Daphnia pulex: one gene and its partner. The protein of the gene in region 2 purifies or fractionates together with the protein of the main gene of each other region. This does not show direct contact. Links are inferred from orthologs where the notes say so. Each region holds a gene or a part of one and is shown on either strand. Other genes may lie near its edges. The genes, in order: 6-phosphogluconate dehydrogenase, decarboxylating-like; 3-ketoacyl-CoA thiolase, mitochondrial-like.

What was found.
Region 1: the proteins of 3-ketoacyl-CoA thiolase, mitochondrial-like (region 2) and 6-phosphogluconate dehydrogenase, decarboxylating-like fractionate together in Homo sapiens (co-fractionation; 3 studies listed by BioGRID). This does not show direct contact. The link is inferred for Daphnia pulex from reciprocal best matches to the Homo sapiens genes ACAA2 and PGD.

What each region holds. Positions count from the first base shown.
Region 1 is NC_060021.1:7,463,045-7,466,968, reverse strand, and holds the start of 6-phosphogluconate dehydrogenase, decarboxylating-like, read right to left. Parts: upstream 2,674-3,924; 5' UTR 2,541-2,673; coding exon 2,524-2,540; intron 1,846-2,523; exon of another isoform or gene 1,778-1,845; coding exon of another isoform or gene 1,731-1,777; intron 1,655-1,730; coding exon 1,434-1,654; intron 1,364-1,433; coding exon 1,119-1,363; intron 1,041-1,118; coding exon 779-1,040; intron 720-778; coding exon 272-719; intron 200-271; coding exon 1-199. Other genes in the region: enolase-like, read right to left, coding at 3,376-3,498, 3,559-3,792, 3,863-3,924. UniProt on the Homo sapiens protein: Catalyzes the oxidative decarboxylation of 6-phosphogluconate to ribulose 5-phosphate and CO(2), with concomitant reduction of NADP to NADPH.
Region 2 is NC_060024.1:9,776,549-9,780,472, forward strand, and holds 3-ketoacyl-CoA thiolase, mitochondrial-like, read right to left. Parts: upstream 2,478-3,924; 5' UTR 2,347-2,477; intron 2,296-2,346; 5' UTR 2,295-2,295; coding exon 2,027-2,294; intron 1,966-2,026; coding exon 1,916-1,965; intron 1,849-1,915; coding exon 1,681-1,848; intron 1,617-1,680; coding exon 1,496-1,616; intron 1,429-1,495; coding exon 1,328-1,428; intron 1,262-1,327; coding exon 1,127-1,261; intron 1,072-1,126; coding exon 800-1,071; intron 741-799; coding exon 656-740; 3' UTR 507-655; downstream 1-506. Other genes in the region: cleavage and polyadenylation specificity factor 73-like, read left to right, coding at 44-169, 227-349, 405-506; 28S ribosomal protein S9, mitochondrial-like, read left to right, coding at 2,738-2,788, 2,853-3,009, 3,064-3,167, 3,249-3,422, 3,489-3,574, 3,682-3,757, 3,820-3,924. UniProt on the Homo sapiens protein: In the production of energy from fats, this is one of the enzymes that catalyzes the last step of the mitochondrial beta-oxidation pathway, an aerobic process breaking down fatty acids into acetyl-CoA.

The DNA of each region.
Region 1 (3,924 bases), on a different chromosome or scaffold from region 2:
TTGGCAACGATAGGCATCGTAGAAAGAGAGGGCCGTTGAGAAGGCCGGAACAGGGACACCATATTGGGCGGCCGTTGCAATCACATCACGCCACGACTCTTGACAAGTGCCCACAGCCTGTCGGAAAAAGTCGTCCATTAACAGGCTCTTGAGATCTGGGTTACGCTCGAAGGCCAATTTGATGTTTCCTAAAAACACACTAAAAGTACACCACCGATTGTTAATAGTGTTTTAAGTCTAGTTTCGTAAGTTATGGTTCCCGTTCTCCCACCTTCGGATGATGCAACCGCCACGCCACATGAGCGCAATTCCACCGTAGTTAAGTGTCCAGTCATACTGCTTGGCCGCCTCTCGTAGCAACATAAAACCTTGAGCATAAGAGACAATCTTTGAGGCATACAATGCCTGAAAAGAAACAAAATGGAATAATTTATTACAGACAGTAAAAATAAAAAAGAAACAGAAATAAAAGTTAGTGCTTACTTTACGGATAGCTTCAATGAATGAAGCCCTTTCACCAGAGTAAGCTTTAAAGGCAGGTGCAGGCAACACTTTAGAGGCTTCGATGCGTTCTGCTTGCAGAGAAGATAAGCACCTAGCAAAAACTGCTTCGCCGATCAGGGTAACTGGGACACCGTAGTCTAGAGCAGCAATGGCAGTCCATTTTCCAGTTCCCTTTTGTCCAGCAGAATCACGAATTTTCTCGACCAAATAATCACCTTTAATAAAATTTAAAGTTAAAAAATTATGTCTACAAATATGCTGTGAAGCTGCATACCTTTGTCGTCCTGGAAACGCAAAATATTGGCAGTGATTTCAATAAGAAAGGAATCCAACTCTCCCTTATTCCATTCATCAAAAACGTCAGCCATTTCAGGTGGAGTCATGCCCAAAACGCTTTTCATCAGGTGGTAAGCTTCGGCAATCAATTGCATATCGCCATATTCAATGCCGTTGTGAACCATTTTCACGAAATGACCTGCTCCACCTTCTCCTACCCAATCGCAGCAAGGCTCTCCATCACTTTTGGCAGAGATCGACTACGCCATGGGGAATCATAAGGAAAACTTTTAAAAATTCTATTCCTGTGGTATTATTAGTTGAGTTAAAAATTTCACCTGAAATATGGGTTTGATATGTGGCCAAGCTTCGATATGGCCACCAGGCATCAAGGAAGGTCCGTATCGTGCACCTTCTTCACCACCAGACACTCCGGAACCGACGTAAAGGATGCCTTTCTCTCTAAGGGTGGTGCACCGACGTGTTGTATCACCGTGCTCCGAATTGCCTCCATCAATTATGATATCACCAGCTTCAAGGAATTCTACCAGTTGGTCAATGAACTGGTCGACAGCTTTGCCAGCTACACAAAAAGAGAAATTCACGAGATCATTAAGTGATTAGGTTGAAATTATGGGGTTAGAAAATTATACCTTGCACGAGCATCATGACACGACGAGGTTTCTTCAATTTAGCGACTAATTCACGAACGGAGTGTGCCCCTACAACACTCTTTCCTTTGGCCTCGTTGTGAAGAAAGTCATCCACTTTCGACGTTGTACGGTTAAAGGCACAAACGACGAATCCGTGATCAGCCATGTTGAGAATCAAGTTTTGACCCATGACAGCCAAACCAATCAAACCAATATCAGCTCTGTGAAAGAGGAAGACAAAAGAAAATTAGATGAAAATGATTAAAACACAAAACACGAATTAACTTGGTGACGCACACTGGTTCGGGACAATTTAAAACGTGTTTACAAGCTGCAGCTCCCATGGTAGAAATGAATTAAACCAGAGTATCCAGCGTGAATGTCTCAAGCGATGGGACTACCGAGTGACAATAAGCTTGATCAAGCACATGACTCTCCAATAAGAAAAAAAAAAATACGAATGTAACTTGCATCCATGGAGAGAGCTGGAATGGAGGTAGTATTGTTTGCTGAAACAGAATTAAACGGTCCCGCCTCGACTTGTGATTGGCTGACACGAATTGTATCGACTGCTGTAGCAGACCACTCCACCTTGGAGCAAATTTAGGGGAAAGCGAGGCTGGCAAGCAGCAGCAACATATATTTCATTTCAAACTGGAAGGGTCGATATATAACGCCATAGTCACGAAAACTTAAGGAATTATTCACGAAAAGAAAATCCTCCATTGAATGTACCTTTCACAACCAATTGTTGCTAAGCAACTGCTCTATTTGTTATTGAGGTCGAGGATTTAGGCGAACTAGAAGCATTTCGACATGTACACTCACTTCTCCCAACATATGGCATAAGCTATTCTTGCCACATATTCCTTAGCACAGAAAGTAGTATTTATCTATTATGTGGGAAATTGATCTAGTGTAAAACCACATACTTTTTATCCGCAAAACCACAGTCGAGTAAGAGTGAAAACTATTCTCAAGGCGATATGAAACAAATAGAGACCACCACGAGGAACAAGAAAAAAATATGATCCCTATCTTTTGATTTAAGTTAACATCGGCATTTTAAAAAAATTAAAAAAGTACTTACACTTGTTCAGCAGACATTTTCAAAAGAAGGCACGCTTTCCTAGCCGGTAATGTGATCTGCAACGAACCGTGACTCGACAATTACTGAATAGGGACTGCGCGAGATCGTCTGTTTTATGTTGGAAAGGGAGGGGTAGACAAAAAATGCAAAGTAATCGATCATTCGTCCAGCCTAATTCCGTGCGGCTTGACGACAGGTTTTTATCCTATCAACAGCTGATAGGTGACAGCCCGCGCCACAACAGCCGCGTTCAGTCATCCACTGCGACAATATTCGTCGCCTCAGGGTGTGGTCAACGTGAAGAAACACGTATTTGCTTGGTCTGCGGTTGCTGTGATTTTCTACATAGTTGTAACCGCATTTCCTTAAATAACGGAAATTCTTATAAAGTCATGAGATTTGATAACCTAATTATTAGCCACCTTAAATTCCCCGGGAGGTAGGAATAGATTACCCCATTACTCACTTTCCCAGACGCACACAATCAGTATATAACTGTTCATATTATTTGTTCGTGTTGGAACTTATATCGTTATCAATTATATCTTGAAATTGAGATTTGGATGACGATGGTACTTTTAATACATCAACATAAATAATAATCAGAACCAACACATTCAGATCACTATAAGGATTGTAAGTGTTTTAACACCAAACCTACACTTGACTACTCCAACTCTATAGTGTCGTTTCTCATCATCACAAGTTCACAACAAAAAAGTAGACATTTGATTAAAAGATAGAAATGGACTAACGGATTAGAAAATTTCAAGCCGTAGGGTAACGAGAAACTCAGACGGAAAAAAATCTAAGTGAATGACTCGTAGGTCGGGATGAATCTTGTCCATTTGTTTACAATGGGTGACGGAAATTCTTGCCAGCGTACTTGGCAGCAGCTCCCAATTCCTCTTCGATACGCAGGATCTGGTTGTACTTGGCCAAACGCTCAGAGCGGCAAGGAGCACCGGTTTTGATCTGTCACGACACAAATTTCTAGTTAGTTTGGCACTTTAAACCACTTTTATTTTATTTTACCTGTCCAGTGGACAAGCCGACGACCAAATCGCCGATGAAGGAATCCTCGGTCTCGCCGGAACGGTGAGAGACCATGGTTCCCCATCCGTTAGCCTTGGCCAACTTGTGCGCGGCAATGGATTCAGTCACGGTTCCGATTTGGTTCACCTTCAGAAGCAAGCAGTTGCATGCCTTGCAATCAACGGCCATTTGGATACGCTTGGGGTTTGTGACCGTGAGATCGTCACCAACGATCTGACAGATAATAAAAATAAGTCAGAAATTGAAATAGATTGAAAAATTGTCTATAATCTTTTCTGTTTACCTGGATGGGAGTGTTGCCGGTGAGGCTAGTCCATGCAGCCCAATCGTCCTGGTCAAAGGGAT
Region 2 (3,924 bases):
TGTGAAGACCACTTCTTTAATGTTTAATATTTGATTTGTTTAGTGGGCGGCTGATTCTGTGAACGACATGTTCGCTGACGCAGTGCTTTCAGCTATCTTAAAGTGCGAATCTCTTCAAGGTTCGAGGACGATTGTGCTACCCACGACTGTTGATCATGCCCGCTTCAAGGTACTAAATTTTATTTGTTTGAGAATAATATCGGTCTAAACGTGTGAATTTATATAGGAATGCTTGATAGAAATGCTTCAAGATATGTTTGGAGATGATGCGGTTCCAAAAATGTTCAAAGGAGATAAATTCATTGTTACCGTTGACGGAAAAAGAGCCAATATAGATCTCACAGCATTGGTAACGTCTAAAATTACCGTTTTCTTATAAAAATCTAAATTCTTTTTTATTAAAGGAGGTGGAATGTCCTGAAGATGTTGGATTTCAACAAGTGGTTCAAACGGCTGTACTTAAATTATATCAATCTTTGGCACCAAAAGCAGAAAAAGTAAAATAACTTGTATTGATATTTAATAATGGAAGAATAAACAACTGCTAAAGTATTTTTATAATCCATCCATATATTTTTTGCATTGTTACTGGATTGTGATTTCTTAAAAATCAAAGTCTTCGCACTAATATTGCCCCGCACGAAGTAACAACCGATTAATTCATGCCCTCAAGAAGAAGAGCTACTCCTTGACCACCACCAATACAAGCCGATCCGATAGCATATTTCAGTTTGCGACGTCTAATGATAAAAGTAAAATAATTAGCATATGGTTCAACGCATCAAAGAAAATTAATTACCCCAATTCGTGAACCAAATGCGCGGTAATGCGCGAGCCGGAAGCTCCAAGAGGATGACCAAGAGCGATGGCACCACCATTGACGTTAAGGACTTCAGGATCCAAATCAAGTTCACGTTGGCAAGCAATAGTCTGAGCCGCGAAGGCTTCGTTGATTTCAACTGCACCAATATCCTTCAGCTGCAAATTAGCTTTAGCCAATACTTTACGAATGGCAGGTGCTGGTCCGATTCCCATGATAGTGGGTTCAACACCAGCAATACCATAACCAACCTACAAATAAAACAATTAATGATGTATTCATTAAAAGTGTAAAGATTTTGTATACCAAACGAGCCAATGGCGTCAGATTATGAAGTTTGCATGCTTCTTCGCTGGCCAATATGATGGCTCCAGCACCATCACAAATGCCTGATGCTGTACCAGCAGTAACAGTTCCATTTTTCTTGAAGACGGGAGGCAGCTAGTTTAAGTATCAGAAATTAGATATAGAAACATTGGAATCATATCTTTTATGGAGTTGTAGTACCTTGGCCAACATTTCCATGGTAGTTTGCACGCGCGGATGTTCATCAGTGTCAAAAGAAACAGGTTTCTTTTTAATTTCCAAAGATACAGGAGCCAATTCAGCTGTAAAATAAAAAAAAAAGATAAAATTATCTATGTATACATTCTGAGATATGCAAATTTTAATTACCTTTGAAATTTCCATTTTCATGAGCAGCTTTCCAATTCAACTGAGATCTGAGAGCAAACTTGTCAACCTCTTCTCGTGTGATGTTATATTTCTCAGCTAAATTCTCAGCAGTAATTCCCATCTAAAAATAATTGCAACAATAAAAAACTGATAAGAAACAAACAAACAAAAGGAAATATAATTACAGGGGTCTTGCAATGGAAGTCAGTTAGGGCAGCCCACATCATGTCTTCCAACTTAATATCAACTCCAAGTTTGGTTCCAAAGCGAATACCTCTAACAGCGTAGGGAGCTTGGCTCATGGAATCTGAACCACCAGCCAAAACAATTTGAGAATCTCCCATCAAAATATCCTGTAATACCAAATGCAATTGAATGAAATTTCCTGTCATTTTTATGGTGTGGAATTATTTGTGTTACATGTGCGCCATTAATAACTGACTGGAAACCAGAGCCACACAGACGGTTGACTAGAAATAATTTTTGTCTGGTTAATAATGTGTAAATGCTATTAAAATATGTTGATTTTACCTGTCAATGCTGGGGTAGGAATAGGAATGCCACATCGAAGTGAAACATGCCTAGAAATGTAGGGTGCATCCACTGAAGAGCAACTCAAGACATTTCCAATAATAACGGAATCTACAAGCTCTGGATTGACTTTGGCGGCAGAGAGTGCAGCCTTGGCAGCAATTTCTTGCAAATCAACGCAAGTCTTGCCGGCCAATTTTCCTCCAAAAGTACCGAACGGAGTTCTCTTGGCACCGACGATGAAGATTCCGCGTGTTAATGAAGCCATTCTGAACGAAAATTAGGTTGAGAACGGAAGATAGCAGATTAAACGTAGATACCTTATTAAGGGTTGACCGACTATGAAAGCAGAGTATTCGATTCTACTTTGATAACGTCTTTTACGTCTATATACAATGAGTAAGACGTATATGGTATGGTAAACGAGTACGAGATATCGTAGCAGACTAGCGTTGACCTAGTTGGCATAAAGTTGTAAGTTGTAACTTGTAAGTTGTAATTCGTAATTTTTAAATTTCACGAAACAGAAAAATTCATACACAAAACTGAAATTTAAAAATTCCAATTCCAAATCCAAACTAACCTCCAAAAATTACATTTGTTTAAAATAAATGGTTGTTGTCTGACAACCGTCTCTCCTAAATGAAGGCGGGGCTTGTGCAAACCAGTCGATATTTTTTACTTTAGAAACAATCCAGAGACAAGATACACATGGCTGCTCTAAGGGAAGTGTTGATTTTCAACTCCAAGTGCTTTCGGGGGGTATATATTTCCATTATATGATTTATTACAAATTCTACGAAATTATTAATGTTGTATAATTTAGGTTAGATCTTATTTTTGTTCTTCTCCCGCTTTTCAATATTCATCTCTTAGTCCCAACAATGCAAGTTCAAATGTTCAGAAATTGGATTTTGAGGAGAGCGATACGAAGCGGATGAGCAAAGCAATGAAATCATACATGGAGCGTGCAAAAATTCATGGTAAACATTTAAATTATTGCTTAATAGAATTTTGTTTATCTCTGAATTTGTTAGATAATTTCATCAAGGAGCAATTACACCAGTATAATATTGGGAAACGACATTTGGCAAACATGATGGGAAAAGACCCTGAATTCTTCACTCAGCATGATGTTAATGTAATATCATTACTCAAAATATCTTTTGAAATTTGTAATAAAAAAAAACTTTGCTATAACTTTTGTTTCATCTACATTTAGGAGGCTATCAGGTATTTGTTTCCATCTGGGCTGTACGACCCACGAGCAAGACCAATGATGAAACATCCTGACGAAATTTACCCCAAACGGAAAGCAGCAGAATTTGATATGAATGGCAGACCTTTTCACAGCTTATTCTACACATCAAAACCAAACTATTACAACCTTCTGCATGTAACATACCCTTTAGATCATTAACCTGTGTGAAACTGATATGATTTGTTTTCTCCCATTCACCAGGATTTAGCAGTCAAATTCAAGCAGCTTGATAACCATGAAGATAAAATGATATATAGAGGAATTCAAGATCAGCAGTCGAGTGAATTGTAAGTGAAATTATCTTACAAACTTTTTGACCTTACTAATATTTGGTATCATATCAAATGCTGATTAAAGGTAATTCTTTCAATTCAATGTCCTTCTTAATATATAGGTTTCTCTTTGGAACTGACTGGGTATCAAAGGAAAGTCTTGAGAGTGTTCTTCTTGAGAGTTTAACCGATTCACAGGTAAGGCATATTTTATGAGAAATACTTACGCCTGAAAGTTTATTCATTTATTCTTGGTATAGTATTCTAACTTGATTAAAACGATGGAACGCTTCGCTCAACACCGGTATGCCGTTAGGGAAAAAAACTTCATTATGCAATTTCGACATCAACTAGCTGCGCAAACT